Caenorhabditis elegans: one gene and its partners. The protein of the gene in region 1 purifies or fractionates together with the protein of each later gene. This does not show direct contact. Each region holds a gene or a part of one and is shown in the gene's direction. Other genes may lie near its edges.

Evidence for each region.
Region 2: the proteins of crn-1 (region 1) and cps-6 purify together in Caenorhabditis elegans (affinity purification with western blotting; 2 studies listed by BioGRID). This does not show direct contact.
Region 3: the proteins of crn-1 (region 1) and cyn-13 purify together in Caenorhabditis elegans (affinity purification with western blotting; one study listed by BioGRID). This does not show direct contact.
Region 4: the proteins of crn-1 (region 1) and crn-4 purify together in Caenorhabditis elegans (affinity purification with western blotting; one study listed by BioGRID). This does not show direct contact.

What each region holds. Positions count from the first base shown.
Region 1 is NC_003279.8:3,479,414-3,486,682, forward strand, and holds crn-1 (Flap endonuclease 1), read left to right. Parts: upstream 1-2,583; 5' UTR 2,584-2,616; coding exon 2,617-2,706; intron 2,707-3,050; coding exon 3,051-3,758; intron 3,759-4,549; coding exon 4,550-4,701; intron 4,702-4,753; coding exon 4,754-4,952; 3' UTR 4,953-5,087; downstream 5,088-7,269. Other genes in the region: Y47G6A.9 (DNA-directed RNA polymerase III subunit), read left to right, coding at 1-74, 632-815, 1,097-1,281, 1,772-1,936. UniProt on the Caenorhabditis elegans protein: Structure-specific nuclease with 5'-flap endonuclease and 5'-3' exonuclease activities involved in DNA replication and repair.
Region 2 is NC_003279.8:4,444,196-4,450,773, reverse strand, and holds cps-6 (Endonuclease G, mitochondrial), read left to right. Parts: upstream 1-2,312; 5' UTR 2,313-2,319; coding exon 2,320-2,439; intron 2,440-2,485; coding exon 2,486-2,662; intron 2,663-3,171; coding exon 3,172-3,294; intron 3,295-3,350; coding exon 3,351-3,505; intron 3,506-3,760; coding exon 3,761-4,112; 3' UTR 4,113-4,188; downstream 4,189-6,578. Other genes in the region: Protein cmt-1, read left to right, coding at 1-8, 60-144, 191-296, 358-586, 638-776; TM2 domain-containing protein C41D11.9, read left to right, coding at 1,000-1,070, 1,461-1,710, 1,780-2,046; eif-3.H (Eukaryotic translation initiation factor 3 subunit H), read right to left, coding at 4,518-4,784, 5,027-5,321, 5,371-5,470, 5,518-5,713, 5,760-5,882, 5,928-6,044; C41D11.3 (Cysteine/serine-rich nuclear protein N-terminal domain-containing protein), read left to right, coding at 6,432-6,488. UniProt on the Caenorhabditis elegans protein: Endonuclease important for programmed cell death; it mediates apoptotic DNA fragmentation.
Region 3 is NC_003282.8:17,109,641-17,119,901, reverse strand, and holds cyn-13 (Peptidyl-prolyl cis-trans isomerase E), read left to right. Parts: upstream 1-3,244; coding exon 3,245-3,492; intron 3,493-3,852; coding exon 3,853-4,276; intron 4,277-4,435; exon of another isoform or gene 4,436-4,484; coding exon of another isoform or gene 4,485-4,520; intron 4,521-4,818; coding exon of another isoform or gene 4,819-6,821; intron 6,822-7,573; coding exon of another isoform or gene 7,574-7,645; intron 7,646-7,693; coding exon of another isoform or gene 7,694-7,721; exon of another isoform or gene 7,722-7,789; intron 7,790-8,440; coding exon 8,441-8,764; 3' UTR 8,765-8,821; downstream 8,822-10,261. Other genes in the region: itsn-1 (Intersectin-1), read right to left, coding at 1-17, 69-218; uaf-2 (Splicing factor U2AF 35 kDa subunit), read left to right, coding at 1,359-1,451, 1,503-1,837, 2,586-3,015; Y116A8C.33 (uncharacterized protein), read right to left, coding at 4,485-4,520, 4,819-6,821, 7,574-7,645, 7,694-7,721; sfa-1 (Branchpoint-bridging protein), read left to right, coding at 8,920-9,076, 9,572-9,977.
Region 4 is NC_003284.9:2,253,654-2,260,740, reverse strand, and holds crn-4 (3'-5' exonuclease crn-4), read left to right. Parts: upstream 1-2,639; 5' UTR 2,640-2,666; coding exon 2,667-2,702; intron 2,703-2,753; coding exon 2,754-2,855; intron 2,856-2,903; coding exon 2,904-2,982; intron 2,983-3,040; coding exon 3,041-3,303; intron 3,304-3,360; coding exon 3,361-3,519; intron 3,520-4,393; coding exon 4,394-4,651; 3' UTR 4,652-4,893; downstream 4,894-7,087. Other genes in the region: AH9.3 (uncharacterized protein), read left to right, coding at 220-720, 1,076-1,255, 1,317-1,400. UniProt on the Caenorhabditis elegans protein: Possesses 3'->5' exoribonuclease activity in digestion of DNA and RNA. Cleaves nucleic acid substrates with efficiencies in the following order: single-stranded RNA (ssRNA) > double-stranded DNA (dsDNA) > single-stranded DNA (ssDNA).

The sequences.
Region 1 (7,269 bases):
CGTTGGGAATCGCTCGATACGATATGGCGAAAATGATGTCACAGCAGAAGAATGAGCCGCCACAGTTGTATCCGGTACGGGCTGTGGAGCACCGGAATAAGAATTTGAAATTTTTTGAAAAAAAATCTGGAAAAATTGAATAAAAAACCATAATTTTATCACCCAATTTTGCGACTTTTCCGTCAAAGTGTCAAAGTGTCTGGTCTCGACACGGCAATTTTTTATTAGTTCAGAAAAGGTGTGCGCCTTTAAAGATTACTGTAGCTTCAAACTTTCGTTTCTGCGGAATTTTTATCGATTTTTTTCTCTCGATTTGTAAACATTTTATTGTTTTTATTACTCTAATATTTCAGTTTGTTAATAAATATATTTTTATCGAAAAACTAAGAAAAATATATGAAAATTGCGTAAAAAGTTTGAAATTACAGTACTCTTTAAAGGCGCACACCTTTTTGCATTTAACAAGTTTGTCGTGTCGAGACCGGGTACCGTAGTTTTAGCAGAAATTTCTCGTTTTTTCGAATTCCTTCCAGAATCCAAAAAAAAAGAAGCCAATTCTTCAACTGAACTAGTCCTAAATTTACTTGAAATCTTTGAAAATCAGTATTTTAATGAAATTTGTATTTTTCAGAAAGTGCAACATGACCCCGTTCCACTTGAAATGACGACTGACATGCTCTACGTATCCCGTTTAAAAGTTGAACTTGATCAACGAATGCGTGATTCACAGTTCTTTATTGAAGCAGAGAAAGACGACGAAATTAAGCGTTATTTGGATAAATATTCGAATATTAAGAGGGAAAAGCTTAGCATTGGTACGGAAATCTAGGTGAAATTGTGTCTCAATTTCAGAAAAAACAAAAAAAAAATTTGAAAATTCAACTTTTTGGCTAAATGAGAAGAGCGGCCAATCAGCGATTTGCTCCGCCCATTTTTCAACCAATCAGATGGAATGGGCGGAGTTGGAAGATGCTGATTGGTCGGAGAGTTCGAGGAAATTAGCCAAAAAAAGATTGAATTTTTCTATTTTCTGTAGCGCTTTTTCTGAATTTAAGGCGATTTTTTAACCTTTTCAAATTCATAAAATCCATTTTAGATATGTCCCATATGCCGAATGAGCTCATTTGGCGCCGAGCTAGCTCGAAATCCAAGGAATCTTTGGCAAAACGACGAAAAGTCGCCAATGACGATTCGATGATCAAGGAGAAGTTGAAAAAATTGGAAGAAAAAGAAGCACAGAATAAGGATGATGATGATGACGATGAGAAGGCTGATAATGATGTAATAGATATTTTAATTTCAGATTTTTGACATTTTATATGGGACAGGGCATTTTTTAGCACTTTTTTTTCAGAAAAAATCGAAAAATAATTTTCAGAAAAATCGAAGTAAATAAGTAGAAGAAATGCACGGAAAATGACGAGAAAACTAAAAATCGAAATTTTTCGTTTTTTCGAGAAAAATAATCAAATTTTCAATAATTTCGGGTTATTCCTCATGAATTGCAAAAAAAAAATATTTTCTCATCAAAATTGGCATATCTTTTGATGAATCTAGAGTTTTCTCGTCCCTTTATTTCTGAAAATAAAATTTAATTTTAGTTGAAACATTTGGAAAACTGCTCAAAAAATGTTCGAAAGTTGGAAATTTCTAATTTTCAGACGATTTTTGAGTGGTTTTTCAATTGTTTCAACTAAAATAGGAGCTATTTTCAGATAAATCACTACATTTTAATGAAAATAATTGGAAAAAAATCATATCTTAATTTCAGAAAGACTCTGGCAGTGAAAAATCCGCGGCAGAAGAGGAGGAGAATCCATTATCAGATGATGACAATCAGGAGGAGGATAACGATTACATCTCGGCTTACTTTGATAATGGAGAAGGATATGGGGACGGCGGTAGCGATGATAATTTGGATGCCGATGATATTTAAAGAATCTCCGGACACTTTTTTTGTTGTTTTTGTTGTTTTTCTCTCAATTTTTGAATATCATTGTTAAATATATGAATTTATTTATTGATTTTCCCTTAAATTTAACCCTTTTATTCGTTATTAGCTTCAGATTTAACCAATTGGTTCAGAAAATCGGTTTTTTCAAGGAAAAAAGTGTCCAAATAATGATTACGCAATCGCGCTCCATGGACAACTAATTGAACGCACCGTTTTCCCGCCAAATTGAACGCAGCTCCGATATTTTTTATCCTTTCTTGGGGTTTTTTATAGTGAGAAACACAATTTTAAGCAAATATTTTATTGTTTTTAATCAATTTTAAACGAAAAATATATTAGAATTGTTAATTTATCGTTTCGCAATCTCATACTCATCTTATTTTCTCGAAATCTTGGAGAATATCGGGGGTTTTTCGTTTTTTACGTCAGGAAAGTGCGGCGAAATCCGTATAAATTCGGTGAAATTTCATGAATTTGACTGATATCGTTCGGTAAAACCTAAAAAACCCTATTTAATTGGAGAACAAAAAGGAAAATCGTGTTTTTTTTTCGAAATTCGCTGTAATTCGTTTCCTACCCCCGTTTTCCACTCAAAAATCCACAAACTTCCCAATTTCAGAATATTTCAGATATAAATTCACAAGGACTAACCCCACACCGCTATGGGAATTAAAGGACTCTCCCAAGTGATTGCTGATAATGCTCCCTCCGCGATTAAAGTCAACGAGATGAAGGCGTTCTTCGGAAGAACAGTACGGGAATTTTTTCCTTAGATTTGCAAAATTGAAGGTTCAAAAATTCGAAAAAATAATTTTTTAAAGCGAAAATCTCCAATTTCGTCTACTTTTCTGTGCGCCGCAGTCTGATTTTCATATTTTAAAATATTTTAGTCGTTTATCTCCTGCTATTTTGTTGATTAATGATTTATCGGTTCGACGCGATAAATCAGAAAAATTTGAAGATTTTCAGCTCTAAAATTGGCTCATTTTTACATAATTTTGAACATTTTGAAGAAATTTCCGGGTAAATGTCTTAAATTTCGACGAGTTTTGAGTCTTTACAAGCAAAAAAACAAAAAAAAATGTTTTTTTTTCAGGTAGCAATCGACGCATCAATGTGCCTCTACCAATTCCTCATTGCTGTTCGTCAAGATGGTTCCCAGCTTCAAAGTGAAGATGGAGAAACCACAAGTCACTTGATGGGAATGCTGAATCGTACGGTTCGAATGTTCGAGAACGGAGTGAAGCCTGTCTACGTTTTCGACGGAAAACCACCGGATATGAAGGGTGGAGAGCTTGAAAAACGTTCCGAGCGTCGTGCTGAAGCAGAAAAAGCGCTGACTGAGGCCAAGGAGAAGGGAGATGTTAAGGAAGCGGAGAAGTTCGAGAGAAGACTCGTAAAAGTCACAAAACAACAGAACGACGAGGCGAAGCGTTTGCTGGGATTAATGGGAATTCCAGTTGTCGAGGCTCCATGCGAGGCAGAAGCTCAGTGTGCTCATCTCGTGAAAGCTGGAAAAGTATTCGGAACTGTCACTGAGGATATGGACGCGCTGACCTTCGGCTCCACGGTTCTTCTCAGACATTTCCTGGCTCCAGTCGCCAAGAAAATCCCGATCAAGGAGTTCAATCTTTCTTTGGCTCTCGAAGAAATGAAGCTAAGCGTTGAGGAATTTATTGATTTGTGTATTCTTCTCGGCTGTGACTATTGTGGAACTATTCGAGGCGTCGGGCCTAAGAAGGCTGTTGAGCTGATCAGACAGCACAAGAATATTGAGACGATTCTTGAGAATATCGATCAAAATGTTCGTCGTTCGTAAAATGCCTATTTTATTATAAACGCGCTCCACGGCAAATAAATGCCCCGAACCATGGGTCTCGTTAGGTACTTGCCGGTGAAATCATAAATTCGAATTTTTCACTTAGTTTTGCCTTTTTTTTTAAATTAATTTTGGCATGAAAATCAATGGAAACAACTAAAAAAGCCGAAAAATTCAATAAAAAATTAGCAAATTTTGAACTTACGGTTTTGCCGCCAAATAGCTAACGAGGCCCATTATGCGTGCAAGCGTAATTTTTCGAGAAAAAAAAAATCGAATTTCCAATATTTTCCTGTCATTTTTCAATTTATTGGAGAAAAATTATTTTATTTTTCTCATCAAACTTTAAAAAAAGCTATATTGTTTCTCCTAAAGATTTATTATTGAAAAAATTATGAATTTGTTCGTTTTTCGATTTTTTCTCTGAAAAAAACTCGAAAAATTGAAAAAAAATAAATCGAAAGTTTTCAATGTTTTTTGTGAAAAAACTGACAAAAAAAAGCGGAAATTTTCAGTTTTGTCTAAAAAAATCGAAAAATTTCAATTTCCTACTAGAAAAAACCGAAAAATGGAAAATTTTCTTTTTTCTCTTAAAAAAAATCGAAAAATTTCACTTTCCTTCTAGAAAAAAACCGAAAAATCGGAATTTTTTAAACAACACTTTTGGCTCGAAAGCGGAGCCTTTTGAATTAGCAGTGGAGCGCGTTAACACATCGATTTCAAATTGGATTTTTCTGCGGATCTATAATATATCTAATTTCTAAAAAAAATTCCAGAAATACCCACCACCAGAGGATTGGCCATACAAGCGTGCTCGTGAGCTTTTCCTCAATCCAGAAGTGACAAAACCGGAAGAAGTTGAACTGACATGGAAGGAAGCCGATGTCGAAGGTGTCATTCAGTTCTTGTGCGGAGAGAAGAACTTCAAGTTTGTCCCCATGAACCTCATGAACTTCATCTAATTTTTCTTTCATTTCCAGTGAGGAGCGCATCCGAAACGCGTTGGCAAAACTGAAGACTAGCCGTAAATCTGGAACACAAGGACGAATTGACTCGTTCTTCGGAAACTCGACCAAGGTTACATGTGTGACAGCTGCGACAAAACGAAAGGCGGAGGAAGCTGAGAAGGCGAAGAAGGGAGCAAAGAAGGGTGGACCACCGAAGAAGAGAGCCAAGTAGCTCACACTAACTATTCAATTTCTTATTTGATTTTTGTGAAATATTGATTGAAACGAAATAAGGTTTTTATTTACCTTTATCCTTTTTTTAATGGAACACACAAAGCTAAGAAAACAATAAAAAATTTGGAAATTTTCAATTCCGTCAATTTGCCGATTTGCCCAACACCCATTTGCTGGAAGTTTTCAGGGTTTTTTATAAGACTGACCAATTTGGGAAATTTGAATTTTTCAATTCCGGGAATTTGACGATTTGCCGGAAAAAAATTTTGCGGCTTACCTCTGATGCATACTATTACGGGAACACTAAATTCTGAGAATGCGTATTGCACAACACATCTGACGCGCAAAATGTCTCGTAGCGAAAACTACAGTAATTCTTTAAATGATTACTGTAGCACTGTGTCGATTTACGGGATCTCGATTCTTGGCATGAATTAGTAAAATTATTATTTATGGATTGAATATTAAAATTTAGCGAAAAATGACGAAATAATACAAGAAACGGAGGAAAATTATAAATCGCTATCGATATTCAAAAAGAAATTATAAAACATTCCGAAAATCGAGCGCGTAAATCGACACAAACCGTACAGTAGTCTTTAAAAGAATTACTGTAGTTTTCGCTACGAGATATTTTGCGCGTCAAATATGTTGCGCTATCCGCATTCTTAGAATTTTGTGTTCCCGTAATAACAATACTGCGAGGTTCCTGATGGACACATCACACATTATCTGTACATTGATTTATGATGTCCCACGGGGTTCTGGCCGCTCCATTGACAATCGCCCAAAAAAATAGATTGACATACCAAAAAATAGATTGATATACCAAAAAATAGATTGACATACCAAAAAATAGATTGACATACCAAAAAATAGATTGACATACCAAAAAATAGATTGACATACCAAAAAATAGATTGACATACCAAAAAATAGATTGACATACCAAAAAATAGATTGACATACCAAAAAATAGATTGACATACCAAAAAATAGATTGACATACCAAAAAATAGATTGACATACCAAAAAATAGATTGGCATACCAAAAAATAGATTGACATACCAAAAAATAGATTGATATACCAAAAAATAGATTGATATACCAAAAAATAGATTGACATACCAAAAAATAGATTGACATACCAAAAAATAGATTGATATACCAAAAAATAGATTGACATACCAAAAAATAGATTGACATACCAAAAAATAGATTGACATACCAAAAAATAGATTGACATACCAAAAAATAGATTGACATACCAAAAAATAGATTGACATACCAAAAAATAGATTGACATACCAAAAAATAGATTGACATACCAAAAAATAGATTGACATACCAAAAAATAGATTGACATACCAAAAAATAGATTGATATACCAAAAAATAGATTGACATACCAAAAAATAGATTGACATACCAAAAAATAGATTGACATACCAAAAAATAGATTGACATACCAAAAAATAGATTGACATACCAAAAAATAGATTGGTATACCAAAAAATAGATTGATATACCAAAAAATAGATTGACATACCAAAAAATAGATTGACATACCAAAAAATAGATTGACATACCAAAAAATAGATTGACATACCAAAAAATAGATTGACATACCAAAAAATAGATTGACATACCAAAAAATAGATTGACATACCAAAAAATAGATTGACATACCAAAAAATAGATTGGTATACCAAAAAATAGATTGGCATACCAAAAAATAGATTGACATACCAAAAAATAGATTGACATACCAAAAAATAGATTGACATACCAAAAAATAGATTGACATACCAAAAAATAGATTGACATACCAAAAAATAGATTGACATACCAAAAAATAGATTGACATACCAAAAAATAGATTGACATACCAAAAAATAGATTGACATACCAAAAAATAGATTGACATACCAAAAAATAGATTGATATACCAAAAAATAGATTGACATACCAAAAAATAGATTGACATACCAAAAAATAGATTGACATACCAAAAAATAGATTGACATACCAAAAAATAGATTGACATACCAAAAAATAGATTGGTATACCAAAAAATAGATTGGCATACCAAAAAATAGATTGACATACCAAAAAATAGATTGACATACCAAAAAATAGATTGATATACCAAAAAATAGATTGACATACCAAAAAATAGATTGACATACCAAAAAATAGATTGACATACCAAAAAATAGATTGACATACCAAAAAATAGATTGACATACCAAAAAATAGATTGACATACCAAAAAATAGATTGACATACCAAAAAATAGATTGACATACCAAAAA
Region 2 (6,578 bases), 970 kb from region 1:
ATGTTCTCGTGAGTTTTCTTTTCGTAATATATTCAACATCAATTTTTTTTTCAATTCAGACACGGTTTCTCCTCCACGCCAATAATTGCACGTCAGGAAGATGAAACTGAAGTTTTATCGAAAACTATGCTTTCTTTTTATAAGGTAAGATTTTATTCCTATATATATTTTTTAACATTTAATTTTGCAGATCCGCAACGAATTTCGCGAAATATTTCGTTCCCATCATCGAGGCAACGTTTCGGAAGTGGCCATTTTCATTGGCACCTGCCCCGTCCGATCTACATACTCTTATCGTATGTTATCGAAAAAATTCTTAATTCTAAGTTTTTTAGAAATATAAATCTTGTGTTTCAGGCGTTCCAATAACGATATGTGAAGCCGAAGACTCGACGCACAAGAGCTGTGGTGATACGTGTGCCGAATTAAACGACTTTGAACGAAGAAAAATCAATCGAGATCTGTTCATGCATAGTTGCTCGAAGGAGCAACAGAGCAATGAAACGAACAAAACGAATAAGAATCATCGGCTTTTTGTCTTTATCAAAGGATCCGAGGATATGGTCAACGAGGAAATTGAAGAGGAGTTAGTTCACGAATTCCCACCGAATTTTTTTTTCTTATTTTTCTTTTTCAGAGACCCTCCATTCGGCTCAAAGCAATCGTTCCACTACTCATTCATCCACGAAAAATGCAATTGCGATGGGGTTCCAGCACCAAGAAATGATGGAAAATGGCTCAGAATGGTGCCATACATTGTGCACTCTAAGCATTAATTCTAACCTATTATATTTTGAAAATTAAATTTTGAATTATTTTGTAATTTGATCTCGTTGTGTTCATCATCTCTCTGTCTCATTTGTGATCAACAGCTTTCCAATAAATTCCCGGGGTCAATTTATGTTCTCGTCCAATCAGGTTCATTTCCCGAATTATTATATTTCCTTTTTTTGGAGAAATTCTAGAAAATTAGTGAAACAGGAGTATATATATTTGCAGATGCTTCACAAAATTCTGTTTCTAATTTGTCTTGCATCATTTATTCCGACAATTGGATCCATTTCCGGAACGTAGGTTTCAGAAAATAGCCCTCAAAAGCCGAATTTCATAACGAGAAACTTCGAAAAAAAAAATTAATTATGGTGGTTAATTTCAGCCAAAACCTCAAATTTCTCCAACTTTCCCGTGTTGCAACGGTCAGAAATTGATTTTTCTTTGATTTGTATATAATTTTGCTTGTTTTTCTTAATTTTCTCACATTATTTTGTGGATTTAAGTGGTTTTAAAGCTTATATCAAACCAAATAACGGGAGAAATTTAAAAAAAAACGATAATAAAAAAATCGATTACCGATCGCTGCGATTCGGAAAAATAGCAAAATTGGAGGTTTTACCTGAAATTATGCTTTTTTTTTGAAATTTTGTTAAAAATGAAATAAATTTAGTTTCTTTTTTTTTCAGAAAAGACGTTAAATCCAAGAATTGTGATGGATCTGCAGGCCTTACGTGCACATTTCCCGGTGATTGCCGAATCGGAGACACTGTAAAAGTGAATTGTACTTCACGGAAAGGTTGCCCGAATCCTGTCAGCAGAAATAATGTCGAAGCGGTGTGTCGGTTTTGTTGGCAACTTCTACCTGGGGATTATGATTGCGAGCCAGCGACAAATTGCTCCACGAGTAGTACAAAGCTTCTCGTGACAAAGTGCTCGGTGAGCAATTTCTTTAATTTAATATCTGTTTTAAAATACCTAATTTTCAAAAAAAAATTGAATTTTCAGGCTCACAGCTCAGTAATATGTATGGGACAACGTAATTTCTACAAGCGAATTCCATGTAACTGGTCATCTGGATACAGTTGGACAAAAACAATGATTCTCTCAGTTGTGCTCGGCGGTTTTGGAGCTGATCGTTTCTACTTGGGACTCTGGAAATCTGCAATTGGAAAACTTTTCAGTTTCGGTGGTCTTGGTGTGTGGACTCTTGTGGACGTTGTTCTGATCGCAGTTGGATACATTAAACCTTACGATGGATCCATGTATATTTGATTTTTTTTTTAATTTTCTTTTCCAATTTGTGTAAATACTTCCTGTAATAAGCTTAAGCTTCGGGTGATTTCTGATACTCTTGTTATTCTCCTTATTTTCGTCTTTTTGAAATTGCCATTTTTCCATTAAAAGTAATAAATATTTCTACAAAATTCGATTGTAAACTGTTTGAATATGAAGTAGATTATTACTCAAAAATATCTTTTTTACATGAATTTTCAGTTTTTCTATTTTTCTTTTCCAAATTTTCCAATTTTAATTTCCAGCCGAAATATGATCGGCAAGGTGGCTGGAACCGCGGCAATCGCTGGAATATCTTTCCTCGCTGGAAAATATTCGAATGACGATCTGCCAATCTTCAGGAATGTTCAATCAGCCACCAATGTTCCAATGGTTTAATAAAAATCTTCTAGAATCCTGAAAAATGCCGCTTTTGCAGAATCAAATCCAAGTTTCGGAGCCAATGACCGTAAAACCAGCATCTCTAAATGCTGATGCAATGGGACCATCTCGTTCGGCAGAGATCATGAAGCACGGATATCCCGGATTCACAAATGTTCGAACTTATGAGGATTTCGTGCTTTCCTACGATTATAAGACAAGAACTGCACACTGGGTTAGTAGAAAATTATGAGAAAATATATTTCAAAAATCTATACCGGACGCCAAGTTTTAGCGCCAAAAATACGGTACCCAGCAGGGCTACTGCAAAAATAAATCTTCCACCAAAAAAAAATTTGTTTCATTTTTGCTGAATCAGTGTTGTAATTTATTTTTTGGTTTTTTGTCCCGAAAAAACCAAAAATTTTTTTTTTCCAAAAACAAAGGCAGCTTTGGTCTCGACATGCCTTTTGTTTTTGTATAAAACAAATGGGTGTGCGCCTTTAAAAAGTACTGTCATTTCAAACTATCATAATTTTTATTTTTAGTATTTTATTTTAAAAAATATTTATTTATTTAAAAAAACACATTAATTTTAACAATCGTGAAAAAAAACTATAAAAATCAATGAATATTCCACAACAACGAAACTTTGAACCTACCGTACTATTTAAAGGTGCACACCTTTCTACATTAAAAAATTGTCGTGTCGAGACCGGTTTTAATAAAAAATTGAATTTCCAGGTCTGCGAACATCTTACACCAGAACGATTAAAACACGCAGAAGGTGTGGATCGGAAGCTTTGTGAATTCAAGCCAGATATCACTTTCCCGCAGAAATTCCTTTCTCAAAATACGGATTATAAGGTTAGTTCTTCGTAATTATTACATAAAAAATATTTCTGAACCATCCAATGTTTCAGTGCAGTGGATTCGATCGTGGACATCTCGCCGCCGCTGGAAATCATCGGAAGAGTCAGTTGGCGGTCGATCAAACTTTTTATTTGAGCAATATGAGCCCACAAGTTGGACGAGGATTCAATCGCGATAAGTGGAATGATTTGGAAATGCACTGCAGGTTGGTAAAATAAATAAAGTTTTTTGCCGGGAAAAAAACGCGAAAAATGTGAAATAATTTTTTTTCTCGTCGACGAAGTTTTTCGCAAAAACACGTAACTCTAAAGAATTTTGTTTTTTGAAAAATTAATACAATTTGAAACTTTTGGAAAATTTTTTTGAGAAAAAAAAACGAAAAATCTACAGCCCAGTCTGAAACCAGCTGGTACCAAGATTTTTCTTTACAATACTAAAAATAATTTTCTACAATTTCCAGAAGAGTCGCAAAAAAGATGATCAACTCCTACATAATCACCGGTCCCCTCTACCTTCCAAAACTTGAAGGAGATGGAAAAAAGTATATCAAGTATCAAGTTATCGGTGATAATAACGTTGCAGTGCCAACTCATTTCTTCAAAGTTGCTCTTTTCGAAGTGACACCCGGCAAATTCGAGCTGGAATCCTATATTTTGCCAAACGCAGTCATCGAGGATACTGTAGAAATTTCCAAGTTCCATGTTCCATTGGATGCTGTGGAGAGAAGTGCGGGTCTTGAGATTTTCGCTCGTTTGGACCCTAAGAGCATTGTGAAAGAGAACGGAGCAAAGAAGGGAGGATTACTTTGGTGATTGATTGGATTGTGATTCCGGTGAATTTTAGGTTTAGGTTGTTTTGTTTTTGTTTCACAAATAAATTTTTTGTTAACTTTTTTGATTTACTGATTGAAAAAACTTGAAAACTCAATTAAAAAGAACAATACCAATAGAAATTTTAAAATCTTAACTTACTATTAGTCAACAACAAAAATTCATCCGAAATAGGGGAAGGTGGAAAAGGATACCAGAAAGGAATTTCATACGGCAAAAAAATTTGGATGAAAAACAATATCCCTATATTGAAAGTGAGACATTATTTTATGTCACTAGTTTTATGTAATATGAAATTCCTTTCACCGAGAGAAAAATATTTTAGAAAAGAAAAAGTAAATTAAAGGGAACAGGGAGGAAACAAAAACACGAGTATATTTGGGAATCTTAACGAGTCGATGAGACAGAGCTCAAAGTTCTGTCTTTTGTTCCGGCGACTTTCTCCTCAGCAACAGCTTCAGCGATGAACATTTTCGTGATATTTTCGCTGGTCACAGTCTTCGAGAAGTCAGCGAGAGCGTTGGTGTCAAAACTGGCGAGAAGCTCATCCAAAAGTCCATTTCTTGTTTGGAGTTGTGGAGCCTTGATTCTCTTGATGTCATCCATTGGAATTGTTGGATCACCACGGGCCACACGTGATTCGTTCTCCTGTTGCTGAAATTGGAAAAATATAAATTTTTAATGATAGAGATTTTTTTTTCGAAAATCGTGAATGGCACCTTTATTCCACCGAAAATGTACCCCTCACATCCGGTTTTATAGTTAGTGGAGCCTCGATATGTTGGAAAATGGTTTTCAAAAAACAAGACTTTAGGTTTGAAAGCCGTTACACTTCGGAATATAAATTTTAGCGATACAATCAGGATATTTTTAATTTCAAAATTCGAAATTCTTACTCTTTTCTGCGTCAGACTGAACACCATATTATCATGTCTTTGCTTGTCAATAGTGTACTTCGTCAACGACTGAATTGACTTGTTCAGCTCATCAACATTAGCCATCATAGCTCGGACCGACTTTTCAAGCGACTTCTTGGATCCCAAATCGAAGTGTCTCGTGGAGTACTTGTCAGAAGAGCATGATTTAGCGAGTGAAAGCTCAGACATGAGAACATTGTTGAGATATGAGGATTTGATGATGATTGGCAACTCCTCGAACATGTTCTGGTATGTCAAACCAGCGGCTTTCACCCTGAAAAGATATGTCTTTGCAAATATATTTTTAAACTCAAAAACCATACAATTCTGGTCTCCAGTCATTCTTTGAAGCGAGATCAAGAGCAGCGGTGGAAAGACGCCAGGCTCTTAGAGAAAGCTGTCCTTGGCGAGTCTTGATTGGATCTGAAAGCAATTAGAATTAATTATTTATCCTCATTAATCTGTCTAACCATAAATAAGAACAACATTTTCTGGGCCCATAGCCTGGTAATCGAACATAGATTCTACGAGATCGTGTGAGAAACCGGCTCCGAATTGATGAGACTGATAGAATCCAACGATTTCGTAATCGATATTCATTGTACGGAATTTGCGGAGCATGTCAAGCATCTCGTGTTGCTTTTGCTCTTCGTATTGTTGAGCGGCCTATAATAGAAAATATATTGGAATCACTAGCATGAGCTAATTTTACATTAGCATCGTCATCCATAACTGGCTCGTTGCGAACTGTTGGGAAGCAATTGGTGATTTCCAAGCGAGAATCTTCAAGGAAAACAAGACCGGTGAGAACTCCGGCACAAGCGTCTCCAGATACCTGTAAATTACATGTTAAGCTTGAAATTAAATTAAAATAATATACCTCACTAATTCCTGCATGAAGTTCACTGTCCACGTGCTTCACAATTTTCATAACCACAAGCGAATCCAAAAGGATATGCTTGACGCTCGGAGCGGTAATTGTCACTGCTGTCGACATTTTTGATAACCCTGAAAGATGAGCATTTAGTTTTTCAAATTTTCTAAAGAACAATAAACAATAACATGCATCTCACAAGAGGAAAAATCAATAATCTAAGCATCACGAATTTTTCGAAAGAAAATTAAAAATATAAATTTCAGAAAATTGGCGAGAAAAACCTCAAAATAATCAATAAAATCTTGAAAATAGGAAACACTCCACGAAATTAATTCCTTCCGTTGTTGTGTGCAACTGCGCGTCAATTGTAGTGCATGCACACAATTGCACACCGTACCCGCGCGTGATCTTTTGATTTGAATTCAAATTTTTGTCGTTCTTTTGTTTTTGGGATTTACTTTTTAAAATGCTTTTTGAAACTTTTTAAGAGAAATTGTATATTTTCAGATGCAATCGAGTGCATCCAACGACCCTAATAAACCTACAAATAATGAAATAATAAAGGTAAGCGCATTTATGAAAAAAAAATCAATAAAACACAATTCTTAAATAAACTAGCTTTATTGGAATCCATTTGAAGATTTAATATTATAA
Region 3 (10,261 bases), on another chromosome or scaffold:
TCTGACAGCGCCCAGATCTGGAAATTGTTTGAATAAAAACATTTTTTTTTTTAAAGTTTAATATCAACCTGAGAAAGCACTTGCGTTGGCAGATTGCTGCGCATTAGTGCATTTCGTGCAGTGACCGCATCCATAAACGGTTGTCCTCCGGTTAATTGGCCGAACATTGCGAAATTCTTCTGATATTCGGCATCGGAAACTTCCCAAGGATTTGTCATCTGGAGAACAGGGGATTTTTCGACAAAAAATGGGAATTTCGCAACAAAAAAGGGAAAAAACGAGCCATATTTTTCTAATTTAACTGGAAATTTATGCGAAGAATCAGCGAAAATGATGAAAAAACACATGTTTTTGGGCAAACAATAGATTTTTTTGAGCCGCTCCGCTCGCCAGCTGCGTCGCGGTCGTGGCCGTGGCCTAGGTTCCCTCTCGGCCATTTCTGTAAAAATTGGCCGCGGCGCGGCGCGGCCGGCGAGCGAGGCGGCTCAATAAAATGTAATTTTTTGGCTAAAATTCGTGATTTTTCCCTAATTTAGCTGGAAATTTCTATGTAAACTTCCCACGGATTTGTCAATTGGGGGTTTTTCGATTAAAAACGCTAAAAATGCGAATTTCGCAACAAAAAGAGAAAATGCGCCGAAATTTCTGTAAATTTGGATTCAGGAACTGAGAAATAAGAAGAAATAAGAAAGAGGCCAAGCGCCGCCGAAAGCTTATCGATTTTTGCGTGCCCCAAAAGAGGAGTGGTCCCCGAGAGCGCGCGGCGAGAGATGCAAGAGACGCAGAGAATTTTAAAGGAATCAAAAACCCCTTTTTTATATATTTAAAAAAATCAATGTTTTTTTTTTCATTTAAAACTTTGCATTTTAAGAACAAATTTTAGTTTTAGAGTGAAAAATCTCGTATTCTTGAGTTTTCTCCAAATAATTTTGAGCTCCAATTGATTTTTAAATGTTCTTTCAGCCTTGGTGCATGAATTAATCGGTATAATCGCGGAAAATTGAAGAGAAATTCACTTAAATTTCAACTTATTTATTAATCTCTGGTCATGGGAGAAAAAAAGAAAAATAGAGAAAACGCTAGAAAAACGCGCGCGCTCACCTTGCCGACGCTCGCCCCGCCCACAAAAGCGTGCCTCGTTGCGTTTTCGAATTTAGCAGGGCAGTTGGTTATTATTTCCATTTTCTATCTGTTTCAGGTTCGCAGTTTGTTTTTTGCATTGAATTCTTGATATTTTGAGTTTTACGTTGTATTCTGAAGTATTTCCGTCAGAATTTGTGTTTAAAAATCGTAATTCTCAGGGTTTTCCCGCTGAAATTGAATTTTTCGTCAAAAATCATTTTTTTTAGTGAATCCCAATGTCGTATGGTGACGGGCTCTCCGGAGCCGAGTACCTGGCCTCAATCTATGGTACTGAGAAGGATAAAGTCAATTGCTCGTTTTTCTTCAAGGTTTGTTGTGGATTTCTGTGAAAAAATTCAATAATTAAATAATTTTTGCAGACAGGAGCCTGCCGCCACGGAGACAAATGCTCCAGAGCCCATCATACACCGACATTCTCGCCAACAGTTGTGCTCAAAAACTTCTACCACAATCCGGTAGTGGATGTCCGTCAGGCGGATGCTTTCGATAAAGTCGGCAAGCGGAATGATCAGGAACAGCGCTATTTTGACGATTTCTACGAGGAGGTTTTTGTGGAGATGGAGCGAAAATATGGAGAAGTGGAGGAGATCAACGTTTGTGAGAATATCGGAGAACACATGGTCGGAAACGTATACGTCAAATTTATGAAGGAAGAGGACGCCGAGAAAGCAAAGAATGATTTGAATAATCGATGGTGCGTAAGCTGAAGCTGCTGTGTTGATAGGGCTCAAGCTGAGCTCAAGTGCTGTGAAGAGAACGTGCCACTGTACTTTGCCCATCGGAAGGGCATTGAAATGGAGATATACCTGGCACAGGGGCCATCTGAGCACTTTGGCGAGCTAGCCCGTATCATTTTTGCTAATTTAGCTGGAAATTTGTGCAAGAAATCTGCGAAAATGATGAGAAATCACAAATTCTGAGCCGCTCCCGTCGGCCATTTCGTTAAAATGGACCGCGACGCAGCTGGCGAGCGGGGCGGCTCAAAACATTTAATTTTTTGACCAGAAATCGTGATTTTCCATCTTTTTTCATGTCAACTGCAAAAATGATGGAAAAATCACTAAATCTGGGGCAAAATATAAATTTTTTTGAGCCGCTCCGCATGCCAGTTGCGTCGCGGTCATGGCCGAGGTTCCCTCTCGGCCACCTCTGTAAAATGGACCGCGACGCAGATGGTGAGCGGAGCGGCTCAAAATTTTTATTTTTTGCCCAGAAATCTTGATTTTCCATGTTTTTTTGCTAAATTAGCTGGAAATTTGCACCAAGAATCAGCGAAAATGATGAAAAAACACAAATTCTGGGGCAAAAAAGTATATTTTTTGTCCAGAAATCGTGATTTTTCCGTCTTTTTCCTGATTTAGCTGGAAATTTTTATGCTAAATGCAAAAATTATGAAAATTTTCTGTAAAATTATCGATTTTTAAAATATTTTTCGCTTTCAGGTTCAACGGACAACCAATCTACGCAGAGTTGTGCCCTGTCACCGACTTCCGCGAGTCTAGATGCCGTCAACACGAAGTTACAACCTGCTCGAAAGGAGGATTCTGCAATTTCATGCACTTGAAGGCAATTTCCGCCGAACTTGGAGATCGTCTGTATGGTAGACGTGGACGACGAGCCGACGCAGCTGGACATTATCCATCACAACGTGGAGGTTCCGGAGGCGGCGGTGGAGGTGGTGGCGGCGGTGGCTATGGAAGCGGTGGAGGATGGGGTGGCGGCGGTGGCGGCAGAGATCGTGATCGTGGAGGATGGGGTGGAGGCGGCGGAGGTCGTGGATATGGAGGTGGCGGTGGCGGTGGAGGCTACGGATATGGAGGTGGAGGCGGTGGAAGACGCCGCAGTCGAAGCCGTGATCGAAGACGATATTAATCTCTCTTGTTCTTTTTTTTTTACCTTTTTTCTTCTGTATCTTATCTCATATAATTCCAATAATTCTGCTCTTTTTTCTCTATCTCTCTCTTTTTTATTGCAAAAAAAACCATTTTTATTTCCTTCTTTTTGTAGTTTTTTCGCCAAAAAATGGTTCTGTTCAGCCATCTTTTTTACCTATTCATTTAATTTTCTACAAATCCACCTGCAAACTGCTCAGAAATCCCAGATGAACACGAATTTTCCACACAATCGGAAAAGAACGCTCTACGTCGGAGGTTTCACCGAGGATGTCACTGAAAAAGTGTTGATGGCCGCGTTCATTCCGTTTGGAGACGTCGTTGCCATCTCGATTCCGATGGATTACGAGTCGGGAAAGCATCGTGGCTTCGGATTCGTCGAATTCGATATGGCTGAGGATGCGGCGATGGCGATTGATAATATGAACGAGAGCGAGCTGTTCGGAAAGACTATTCGGTTAGGGATTGGCTCTGGAAACCAAGAAAATAGTCCTAAATAAAGTGGAATTCTTGCGTAGTCTACTACGTAAAGTGAAACTCCAGCGCAAATCGCAGTTTTTCGTAGTTTGACACCAGGAAATTTAAATTAATTTTCAATTTTAAACGTAGCAACGATGCTCCGAAATAACGCACGCGCATGTTATTTCGGAGCATCTTTTAAAATTAAGATTTAATTTTAATTTTGTTTTCAAAATTTTCCTAGTTTTCAGGTTTAATCTTTGTGATTTTTCATATTTTTTTAAAGATATTTTTACAAGTTTTTCAATAAAACCTGTGAAAAAAACATTTTTTATAATTTTAAAATTGCTATTTTCAGTGTCAACTTTGCTCGTCCACCAAAAGCCACCGAACGCTCACAGAAACCTGTCTGGGCAGACGACGAATGGCTCAAAAAGTATGGAAGAGGTGGAGAAGCTGCTGCGGAAGAAGACGGAGACGCTGAAAAAGCCGCCACGTCATCGTCGTCAGCCTCGACGAAGCTTCCACGTGTCTATCTGGGAGTGAAGATTGGAATTCGATATATTGGACGAATAGTGATCGAGTTAAGAACTGACGTTACACCGAAAACTGCCGAAAACTTCAGATGTTTGTGCACAGGAGAACGAGGATTCGGTTATGAAGGATCGATATTTCATCGGATTATTCCAAAATTTATGCTTCAAGGCGGTGACTTTACGAAAGGAGACGGAACCGGCGGGAAGTCGATCTATGGAACGAAATTTGATGATGAGAATTTCACGGTTAGGCACAAATTTTGATGAGCGGTATACTAGAAAAAATACTGTAAAAAATCGCATTTTCACAACGTTATTTGGTAATTATGCCAATAATTCGTGCTAAACATCAAATTTTCTGTAGAAAATGTGCCAAAATATGCGAAATTTTTGAAAAAATAACGAAACGAGATAAAAAATTTATTGATTTTTGGCAAAAAAAAAATCAATAGTTCTATTCAAATGCATCTCGTTTCAGAAGAAGAACGATCTGAAATTGTTCTCTATTTTATATCATGACACTACTACCAAAATTTATTTATCGATCCTTAAAATTTGCAAAAAATTTTGTTGCACAGAAAGTGGGACGGAGCTACGCAAAATTTTTCTCTTCTTTTCGAATTGGATAACATTTTCATTCGAAAAATCGAGAAAAATACAAGTAAAATTGAAATTATATTGCGGGGAAATACCTCATGCGGCAGTGTTGTGAAGCTACGCTCCGCCCCACTTTCTGTGCGACAAATTTTTTTGCAAAATTCAAGGATCGATAACCAAATTTACAGTACCTCTAGAAATTCCTGAAGAACTCCAAATTTGAATGGGGCCCATTGCAAAATTGTATTGTGCTTTGATAAAATAAAATCCAACGCTGCAATCTTCTCAAGAAAAGGGCTCGCCGGATCCATGGCTCTGAGGGCCTTTTCAATTGGGATAATATCAATGTCCGGAATTTCGGCTGTCAAGTTCTTGAGCGGATTAGTGTATCCTTTCAATGATTTAGCTCTCCACACATCAATTCTTGAAATATAAGCTTTTGCTTGACTTATTGCTGTCTCTAAGGAAGAAATATCTTCATGTCCCTTGACCTGACTAATCAGTGGCTCCAAGTCCACTAGACTATAGACACTTTGAACTACACTCTGAGATATGCCAATTTCATCGGTTTGATTCAACATCTGCGACATCTCATTCATTCTCAATGTCACCGGACTCGCAACTTCTCTCATTTTCTCTGGAATTGTTTTCACTGTAGAGAGTTCGTGTGAAAATTTGGATACCAATGGAGCAATCTGTTGAACATTTTGCAAATCTGCTCTCATAAACGCTTGAATCAATGGAACCATACGGATAACAGCTTCCGAGTTGTTTTTCAACTTTTTCAAGCAATTGTGAACTTCCAATTCGGAAGATATCTTGTCCTTGAATTCTTGGCTTTTCAGTTTTTCTTCAATAGCTTTACTCAAATTTTGAAAAATGAAAATCTCTTTATAGTCGATTGCTTTGATGCGGTCTCTGAGTTCATTTACTGTGATCAGGAATTTCGGGACACTTTTAGTTTCTAGAAAACGTTTCAGTGTTTCATTAACAAAACTTTGATTGTTTTTTAATAGTTGGAGAGAGTTAGAGTCCAGGAATTTGTTAAACTTTTTCTCAAATGTGAAACGATCGATAACATTATCCAGGTAATTCGAAAACAAGGTAACGTTACGCAAAAATTCGACATAAACTTTATCGGGAGACACAGCCGGATGCAAACGATAGCATGCTTCAAGCTTCTTCAGTACATCTGCAGAGTTTTCAATGTCAAGTGGAACTGATGAAAGTAGATTCTTCAAGTGTTCAAACCCATCAGAAATCAGAGAGTTTCCAGAGATAGCTGCCAACTCCTCATCAAACTTTTCAAGCATTTTATGGGCAATTTGTAGAGGCTTAAAGCTATCTGCCAGTTGGTTCAACAATGTTCTGTTAGCTCTCAGAATTCTTCCCAGCCAAGGATCTCCGAGCCGTTTAGAATCGACTCGTGGAAATTCTCTTTGTGCATCATTTTTGAGCTTTGTCACTCTTTGGACGTCTTCCTCAGAATCGTTTCTCTTCTTCGAAAGCTTGACCATTTGTAAGATGCTACTGCTCAAAATATCTCCTTTCTCATCTGTTTCTAACATATGAATCTCATTTCGATCATTCATCAACTTGAACATTTCTCGTAGTGGCTTAAACGTCGATTCTATTGATTTGTTCATTCCTTCAAGGTATTCAACATGTCGTACGCTCGAGACTTTGAGCATTATACTACCTAATTTTTCCAACAAAAATTGAGGACTCATTGTACGCTCGGTAATATTGAACGGCACATTCAAGCCCTCTTCAAGCCACTGCAGCATTTCGCCGATGTATTCAAGCATGTCGACTATGAAACGATGCCCATTGTCAGTGGAATCCTTGACATCTATAGCTAAGTCACGAAGAGTGTCAAAAAACTTATATTTTCCATGTAGTTCCAAAGTATTTCCATCAAATTTCAATTCATCAATGAACGTATTATACTTGATTAGTTGGCTCTCCACTTTCAATACTTCTTGCTCAGATCCCATTGATGTAGCCTTCAGATCATCAATCAATTTGAGAATATTTTCAGATTTGAAATTGGAAATATCAGAATTTCTATAGCTATTCAAAATTCCATCAATTGCAATAGTCTCATTCATTAATCCAGCTTGAAATTGAATTCCTTTTGGAAGTTGAGCAACTGTCGAGATACGGTCGATGTATTTTGATGGGAAGTACGGTGCTGAAATTTTTGAAATTTTTCAAGAATTTAATTTAGAAACGGTTGGAAACTGAAACACGGATATTTGTGGCTCAAAATCCACAGAGCTGATCTTTCCAGTTTTTATTGTACCAAAAAAAGAACCCAGAGGTGTTATACTCATTGTACAGTAGAGCGCCCTTTTATGGACGTAGCTTTTGCCGCCCCGTCACAGAGCGGTTTTTACTACGTGGCCGTAAAATAAGAAAACTCGGTGGCCTTCATAACATGGGTTCGGAACATTTTCTCAAAAATCGCCACGGTGGAACTATAATCCCAGATAAATCATTGGCCGAGTTTTGATTTTTCTAGGCCACGTAGTAAAAGCCGCTCTGTGCCGTGTTCAAAATGGTCACGTTTTGCAGAAAATTTTCTTATTTTTGTCATCAATTTTTTTTTTCACAAATTTTGAACAAATGTCATCAAATCGTACACCGTCACGCCAGTTTTGCTCAGTTTTGAGCCATTTTTCGTTTACTTCTTATTAATTGTATTCCGAAAAAAAAACAACTTTCTTATAAGAAATTGCCGAATCTCCGTTGTCTCCGAAAACTGTTGTCAAACTATACCCACGTTTTGCACAAAATTTGCTTATTTTTGTCATTCTTTCCCCGAAAAAATCCCACGTTTTTCTTTTCAACATTAGAAGAAAAAATTATAAAATTGTGTGCCGAGTACGTGCAGATTGCATCGAATTTCCCCCAACATATTCGCCAAAAAACCCGTATTTATACCTGGTGGAGAGAGCAATACATCCGGTACAAATGTGAAATTGGCGGGATGACTTGAAATTTGAATTGTTAGAGCTGAAAATATCAATAAAAAATCTGAAAATTACGAAATAAAAAACCCACCGATAAGGAAAACTACAAGAACTTTCATTTTGACGCCGATTGTGTTGAAAAATCGATGAGTTATCGGTTTTTTGAAGTTCAAATGTTCGAAATAAATGTTTTTAAATTGGGAAATTAACTTTTTTTTTTTTTTTTTAACTAGTTTTTTAAAAATTTTCACGTGCCCCAGAGTTTAAAAAAATTGGAATTCCTGTGTCAACTAACACTTAAATTGTAATTTTCTGAGTATTGGTGCAAACATAGGAAAAATTTCAAAATTGCAACTATTTTAAGCCAATTTTGACTCAAAAACTCTCCATCCAAAACCGCAGAAAAGTCAAAATTTTCCTTTTTTAATCTAAAATTTTTGCCATTCTTTATCCAGAGTCGAAAATTGTCCGTTTGAGACCGATTTTGCACTTAAAATTTCGGATTTGAATGCATTTTTATCAGTTTTTGCATTAAAAACCCATATTTTCCACCTAAAAACTCTTAAAATTCCGAAATTTTCCGTTTTTAACCAAAATTGCAACAATTACTAGCCAATTTTCACTCAAAAGCTCGAATTTTCCATCACAAACCGCTGAAAATTCGAGAATTTTCCTTTTTTATCCGATTTTTGATCTTAAATTCCAAATTGTTTTTCCATTCTCTTTCAAAAACCGCTCCAAATTTGAAAATTGTCTGTTTTAGACCGATTTTGCATCTAAAATTCCGTATTTTAAGCATTTTTTCACCTAAAAGCTCTAAAAATCTGAAAATTTCCAGCTCCGCCACACAATGCCCGGCACAGTTTCAATGGCGAACTGCGGTGCGAACACAAATGGCTCACAATTCTTCATTTGCACCGAGAAAACCGATTGGCTTGACGGAAAACACGTAGTGTTCGGTCATGTTGTTGAAGGAATGAATATTGTACGACAAGTCGAACAGCAAGGAACTCCGTCTGGCAAACCTCAGATGGTTGTGAAAATCGTGGAAAGCGGGGAAATTGAGCCGGAAAAACGGATTGCCGCCGAAAAATTGGCCCAGAAGGCAGTTGTTCCGGGAGCCGAGATTCAGGAGCCGCTTCCGCAGGCTATGGAGACTTAATTTATTGAATTTTAAAATTTATATGTTTTATTTTCAAAAAGAATTGTTTTAATTTATTTTCCTTTTTTTTTCCAATTTTCGTTCAGCGTCTCTCAAATCGCTATTATTTCTCTATTTTTCTTTGTATTTCCCTCTCAAAATCAACCACCCTACAGATGTCGAAAACTGGTGGAAACACGGAGCCAATGCCATTCATCCGGAAATGGGGCAACGAAGCTGGCGAAGATTTGGGAGCTGCCCCCAGTGCAACAGCAGCTCCACCACCAGCACTTGTTGTGCCAACAATTTCCTCCATGTCGTCTGGTGATAATAGTGAGTTTTTGTGTCGAAAATGGAAATTTTGTACATTTTTTGTATCGAAAAATAACAAAAAATCTATATTTTTTAAAATTTTTCGACGTTTTTTGAGTCTTGAAACTTGAAAATGCACTATTTTTGTTTTTTTAATCGAAAAATCAGAAAAAGTCGTATTTTTTTGAAAATTTCGGCAATTTTTCCCCATTCCATCGTTTTAGACAATTTTGAGTAAAAAACCTAGTAATCTATCATTTTTGTATTTTATGTCAAAAAAGGTGGAAAAATACAATATTCTTGTATTTTCGTCATTTTTTGAGTCGAAAAATTAGAAAAATTAATGGATTTTTCGATATAACAGCGAAAGTTTAAAAAAAGTCACATTTTCGCTATTTTTTGGCGATTTTGAAGGCTTTCTTTGTCGAAAAGTTGCAAAAAAAAATTGTAAAAAATGCAGAAAAACATGGAAAAAACTCAATAAAATTAAATACTCTGAATTTCCCCATATTTCAGAATCGCCATCTCGTTCGGAATCGGTGTCTGATCGAAAAAGGGACCGATCACGTTCTCGTGATCGTGACCGCAAGAAGGATCGAAAGAAGAAGGATCGTTCACGTGAACGAGATCGTGAACGCCGATCCTCTCGTTCCCGTTCTCGATCTCCTCGAGATAGAGATCGTGAACGTCGTCGTCGGCGGTCTCGATCACCACCACCTCGTCGTCGAAGCCGAAGCGGTGGAGATCGTCGGCGTAGAGAACGATCACCTCCGTCAATGGTTCCGAATAGTCCGCAACGAGTTAAAGAACCTGTGATAAATCCATTGATTCGGGAAGATTTGGCTGCGGCTGTTGAAAGTGGAGCAGTACCTGTTGAAGCTGTACAAGCTGGTGCAGTTGTTGCGTTGAATCCCGCCAAAAAGTGAGATTTTGGCGTTTTTTTTTTTGATCTGAAATGGCCAAAACTACCAAATTGTTCTTAAAATATCAAATTTTCCCAAAATTATCGTCTTTTTTTGAATATTTAAATCCATTTTCGTTTTTTTAATGTGATTTTTCAGTTTAATTTTCAAAATTTTTGAACATTTTAATTTATTTTAAGCCTAATTTTGCATTGAAAATCCCAAAAAAAAAAACACAAAAACTGAAAAATCCTCGCGATTTTGGATAAATTCCATCCAAAATGAGAACCGCGACCAATCAGCG
Region 4 (7,087 bases), on another chromosome or scaffold:
TCTTATTTAATTGGTTCTGAAAATTTAGAAAAATGTGGATTTAATTTTAAGAACTAACTAGACTAAATGAAGATTCATTATTTTTTTTATGTAGATCTAAATTTGTTTGTTTCATTTTTCGAATGTTAGTTCTAATTGGTATATGCATACTTTTTTTTTCTTTTTTTTTACATTCCAGAAATTCAAATCCCTGCTTAATTGTATTTTTTTGTAGGTAATATGTCGTCACCAACTCCAAAACATGAACCACAAGAGAATGACAGTTCTCTTCCGGATGAATCGATGGAAGTAGATGGACCGGAAGACTTATCCGTGAAGAAAGAAGTCCAGGAAGCAGTAAAAACGGAAGAAGCTGGTAGTTCACCAAAAGCGACAACTACAACTGACGGCGAGGTTCCTGAGAAAGATTCCGCCGATGAGAATGCCGAGAAAAATCAAGTTGACTCAATGGAAAACCCTAAAACTGAAGAAGGCATTGTGACTGCTGATGAGAAAGTTGACAGTTCTGATGATAACAAAAATGCTCAAAAAACGGATGGAGAGAAGTCACAGGTTGCTGAAGATGTGGCGGATGCAGAGGTGACTGAGAAAATTGGGTCTGGAGTAAATGATGAACTGGAAAACGTCGAAGAGGCTGAAAAGGAAGTGAAAAAGGAAGGTGATGACGAGGAAAGTGGAGCTCAAGATCCTGCTGTGATTCAGTTGAGAAAAGAAATTGCGGTAAGTGTTCACAAATGTTTAAATAAAATTTTAATACATTTTGAGTAGTGAAATGTCATGTATTACCATAATAATTATTAATTAAATGTCTAAAAAACCAAATTGAAAAGAAAATATTCTGGAAAAATTGTAATAATACGTAGTTTAAATTCTTTAAGTTCAACTAAAATTTCCAATTTCTTAAATTTTTAACCGTAGTGAAAATTGCTACCTTTTCCTAAGGTCTCATTACGGAATTAGTTAATCTTAAGTATTTTAGAGTAGACGCGGAATTTCTGAAGTTTTTTAAAGAATACTTTATGACCTACTTTCTGTTTCGTTCTGTGTAATTTTTCTCATTTTTGAAAACTTTCAGGCAGCCATCAACACTTACCAAAAACAGTTTGACGATCTCAATCTTACTCAGCGAATCGCCCAACCAGGTATCTCGGAATACACGCAAATGGTTATCACAAAAAAGTTGAACGCCAGTACAGCTCATATTGATGGTTATAAAGGGAAAATTGCAATGGCCAACACTGTCGAGCAGCTACAGGTGGGAGTTTGCATTAATTGAGATTTGTAATAAACTAAATAAAAAACTTGTGCCTTTTCAGAATCTGTTGACAGAAATCAACCAGCAAATCCGTCGTGCCCGTCAATCCGCAGAAATCAATGCAATGCTAGGACCCCCATTTTGAAATATTCCATGTGATAGATCTCAATTTTGTTTTGAACACGTTTTTTAAAAAATGTTTCTGAAAATGTTCCCGATTATTCTTTCTTCAAGCGTGAACGATTTTTGTTTACGTACCCCAATGACCGTTTTGTATTTACAACATTTTTTGAACTTTATCAATTTTGACTTTGCAATAAAATCTTATGTCTTTTGGCTATTTATTTTAGTAGAAAAAATTAGGAAAATCTTCAGAAATCATCCGTCAATTGTTCGGCAATTTTCACCGGCAATTTTCAACATTCGGAAAATTTTTGAACACTTTCTCGGTTGTTTGAAGTTAATTAGAAGTTATTTTCAAGTAAAGAAAATATTTTTCTATATTGTATCATTAAATTTTTATGAAAAGTATCGGTGGAACATGCCCAACCGTCTCAACTTGTAGAATTTGGCAAAACTCTGGAAGACTTTCAGAGTCAGTCCTTACTTTTTCTTTACTTTTTTTTTACTTTTTATTTTCTTTTTATTTTCTTTTCACTCTTTACTAGCTGGTTTGTCAATAAAATTCTAGACTCATCAACTGTATATTTTCCCGCCCCAAAAAAGTTGGCGTTCCCATCTTGAGGCGATTGCGTAATAGAAATCAAAATAACAATGCGTTCGAGAGCATACTGAGAGAGAGCGGAGACGTAGAGAAAGAGAGACACAGTGAGGAGGGACGGTTTCAGCGTTGATGAGTCATTTGGCCTTTTTGATGAGATTTGACCCCCGCCAAAAAAGTGTGTGACCTCCGCTCACTTGCTGCCTGTGTCTCGATGCCGCGCGTTGCGACGTCGTTGCGCATCCATTTTTAGTTTCATAATCTTGCATGCTCTCTTTCGCAACAACGTTTTCCAATTTCCGATTAAGTTTTTTTTCTAACTTTTGATATTAGTGCTAAATAGATACTGAATCTAACTACTGCGTTGACTTTCTTGTTTCTCTCTTCTCGTTTTCCACAAACAGCTCAAATGTTTAAGAATTGTCGTCAGTACTTTATGTTTCTAAGCCTTAGTAATCCGAACATATATTCAAAGTTTGCCGTTCGCTTTCTGCGTCTCGTTCTCTCTCGTTAACACTGTCCGCATTGGCCACCTATCACTTGGACCGTCGTTTGCAATTATTGATTTTCCAGATTGCGATTCTAAGCCAAATTCAATTTTGCATCTCTCTTTTCTTTATACTCTTTCTGTATCTTTTCTTGCCAATAATCTACATTTTTCAGGTCACCGCTCTCTGTACACAATACAGGATGGCTTACCAACACTGTCCGTTTGATACTTTATTGGTAGGTTCAGCTCAAAATTGTGTGCATCTAAAATATCAATTTCAATTTCAGATTCTCGACTTTGAGACAACATCCGATGCTGCTAATCAAGATTACCCGTGCGAAGTCATTCAGTTCGCGATCGTTGCCTATGATGTCCCAAATGATAAAATTGTGAGAAATTTTGCCGTTTAAAAATATTTAATAATAGTTAATTTTCAGCGTGAGGACATTAGTTTCAACAAGTACGTCAAACCTGTTCTCAATCGGACTTTGACAAAGAACTGTGTCGATTTTACCGGTACGTTTTTATAGTTTGGTTATTTTTATAAATATACATAATACAATAAAGTTTTCAGGAATCCCGCAACGTTCCATTGACACCGCCGACACCTTTGATGTGGTCTACGAGCAGTTCCAGCAGTGGCTCATCACGCTTGGATTGGAAGAAGGAAAGTTCGCTTTCGTCTGTGACAGTCGTCAGGATTTGTGGCGTATTGCTCAGTATCAGATGAAACTGTCCAATATCCAAATGCCAGCTTTCTTCCGTCAGTACATCAATTTGTACAAGATTTTCACGAATGAGATGGATCGAATGGGCCCCAAAGAGCTTTCTGCGACGGTGAGTTCAATTGCAAATAGTTTTTAAAAAAATGTATGATATAAATAATCTTTTCAGACCAACATCGGCAAGATGAACGAATACTACGATCTGCCAACCATCGGACGTGCTCATGATGCCATGGATGACTGTCTGAATATTGCTACTATTCTCCAGCGAATGATTAACATGGGCGCAAAAGTTACTGTGAACGAGCTGCTGACCTGTTGTGCTTCGGTAAGTTTCGATCAATGTTGAAGATCATCTTACAGCCTTTTTATTATCTTCAACTAATATTATGCCAGTGCCCACACTGACCAATCCAAAATTAGATAAAGACCTAGTAGTCCCGCACTGGCTTTTTGAAAAACTAACCGAACATTGTAGATCAATTTGTAAAAGCGTCAATTTTTAGGGAAAAATCACATTAATGCGTGTAGAGCCGATGAAGAAAAATGAATAATTTTCAAAGGATTTTTATACTAAAACAAACTAGTATTGTAGTCTCTGTAAATTTTGCACCCCTAGGTGAATTAAAGACGGAGCACCGAAACTTGACACTATTTTTTCACCCAAAACGGCCTAAAACAACAGGCTTTTTGTAACGAGACGTGCAGAATTTTTTTTCAAAAACATACTTATTTTAGGCTAAAATCACAAATTTTGCCAGATTTAAGCCTCATTTTTATCAAATTATCATGCTTCAATATATATTCTCGTAATTTATTACTCGTTTGTTAGTTGATTTAAATTCATGCTCGGTTGATGGGAACACAAAACTGTATCATATTCGTGTCCCCATAGACCGAAAATGTATTTAAATCAACTAATTAACTTGCAACAAATTACGAAAATATTTAACAAAAAGTGATAATCAAATAAAAAATTCCTTCTGCAAGTTGTGGCTTTGTCAATTTGTCCTTATTTGAGCTCTTCGGTGAAAATAAATAATTTCCCTCCACTCAAAAGTATTAACCTGTAGTTTTGGCCATTTTGCGTCCAAAAAGCGAATTCTCCGATTTTGGTGCTCCCACTTCAAAAATTAGTCTGACGTTAAAAATATCAAAACCACTGTTTTCGAAACTGGTGTATAATTTTATTTTCCTTACAGTGGCGCAGACAACCGCTGGTCTACAACAAAGAATGGAGAAGCAGCTTCATGGACGCTGGAAAGATTTTCGAAAGAGTCCTGCCACTTGTCGTGACTACAATTCGCGCAGGCGACTTTCGTCTCGAGATGTACGGAGTCTGCCGCTATTGCCGCAAAGGAATGGATGTGTGTGGAACAAGTCATCAGCAGACACCACATGATCTCTACAAAAATGAGGAGGATCCTATCCACTTTGCCAAAATTGCCGGTTACTACTAGAATCCGTGAACATCATCAATTTAATACCAAGTTTTTTTTTTCAAATCGCATCTCTTCATTACTTGTCCTTGTACTTGTTACTTGTGATAAGGAATTTTTTCCAAGCTCTCCGTGTACTCTGAAACGAGTTTTTATTCAGATTTTTACGGTATTTGCCCATCACGGGTTTTCTCATGTCATTACGTTTTTTGACTTTTGAATTATCACAAATTTTTATATTAATATAAACTCTTAATTATCAATTCTTCAGAAACTGATTTAAAAAAGTGTATAAATAGACGTGCCAAATATTGCCAGAAAAGCGTCGTCAACTCCGTATTGTCTTTCACCACATTCCAGTATCTTCTTACACTTTTAAAATGAGACGAAAATGTGGTTTTTTTTAATATATCTATTCTCTATTTTTGCAAAACTTTTTTAAAAATAGATGTTTCTGTCCCTTTCTATTTAACAGTTGCTATTGATAATCCGATTTATTTGATTTTCTCGAATGATAAGAAATTAAAACAATTTTGAAACTTTTTCTGCCGACTGTTGCTCCTGCTTGCATGCTGACCCGCTCTGTGTTTGTACAAGTCATTTAGCGAGCCCACGGCAAAGATATATATTTTTTGTTAGCTCATTCACCCCCTGCAAAAAAAGCTTATCTGTTGATTTTTGAAAACTAACTGTCTGCACTTTGTGAAGTAAGAATGGCTTGTGACTCAGTTTTATTTGAAAGTTTGAAATTTTTTCTGGATTTTTTTTAAATTAACAAACTATTTGAGAACTAGTGTTTCTAATATATTGCTCATAGCATATCCTATACCTTTTACTAAAATTTTTTGAAGCTCTCGAGTTTAGAATCTGTTTGCTAATTCAAAGATGGAGTAGCACCAGCGGTGCCGAAATGAACAAAATAGCTTTTTTTCAGAAGTATGTGACAGTGCAAAAGTTTTCCCAAAACTTGGAAAAATTCAGTGATTGCAGCTTTTTGAAAAAAAAACTTTAAAAGCTGTTTTGAAAAGTTTTACTCTACATGAGTCTATCACACTTTTTTCCACATTTTAAAATAATATTCCGACTCCAGTTCCCTAGGGCTTCACAAGTACATTGTAAGCTGTAAATAAGCACAATTTTTTTATTATTCAAATAAAATTTTTATTAAGTTTTTATTTTTTTTATTTCACACTGTCAAGTGTGTAGATTAATCGGCAATTTGTTCATCACTTTTTCATCTACTCGTGAGCTTTGAACATCGAGTTTCAAGTTACAAGTTTGTTTCTGCTTCTGTTTCTGCACTAGAGCTTGTCACAAACTTTTCTTGTTTTTTGTTTTCTTCACACCAACCAAATTAAATGGATTTCTCATTATTTCGCATGCCATCACTTTTCCCTTATTTTCTGCTTGCCCGTGTTGCAATAAACCTGCAATGCAATTCTTCGTGCAACTTTTGCTCTCGCTTGACCTTGGTATTAGTTATCTGTGAATAGTAAATATATGAATTATGAATTATGAAACGTGACAATTGAACGTGTTAATTATCACGTTTCAGAGGGAAAAATGGCCAGCAAGTCGGTCAGTGTATCTCTTCATTGTTTACTCAATTAAAAAAAAAGAAACAGAGTGCGAGTTCTTTACTCTCAAAGTCTAAAAGCTAACATCCGGAATAAAAAAGAAGAAAGAAGAGCAGTTTAACACAACAATTTCCCACAAGTTTCCTTTTTCTCCGTCTAGCTTCTTAAACATGAGAGGATGTTTCTTGACCACCAAAAACTTTTTTCACCACAACGCCCGCCACCACCCACCTTCATGCAAATCATGGCGGAAGCCTCGTCTTTTGATTTCCTTTTCATTTGGGTCCGCATTTACGAGAAAGATATCATTCCCTGAATCATTCATTCAGACTGCTTCCTCATTTTTTTCTCCTTTCAAGGTTTAATTTTCTAAATGTGCTGCTTTGTGTGTCTACTTTTCTTGATTTCACCCTTAAAGCCAAATCCATTCTTGTAAAGTTTGATCAAAGCAGACATTACCCCCATTGTATAAATTATGTATATACTGGTAGAGTGCAATTCTAGACATTCACCAGACATGCTGGGGCAACTCTCACCCTTAAAAATTAGATTCCTTTGATCTCTTATTCAATGGATACCTAACACAACACAACTCGTTTATATATTCAACAAATAAAAACTCCTATGGGCCAAGTTATCAATTTGATGTGTTTCCTTGTTTGTAATATTTCCTGGTAGAATTTTAGAATTCAGTGAAACATGGAATTCAAAGATCTTGTTAATAGTATGTAGACCAACTTTTAATTTTTAATTTGATAATCCACTCAACTATGCTCTTGTTTCCTTTTTTACGAAGATCCACATTTTATAGCGACAAAAGTGATGTGTGTTCTAGTTCACTTTAACATGTTTCTAGTATTTAATAATACCCTAGGAAAAT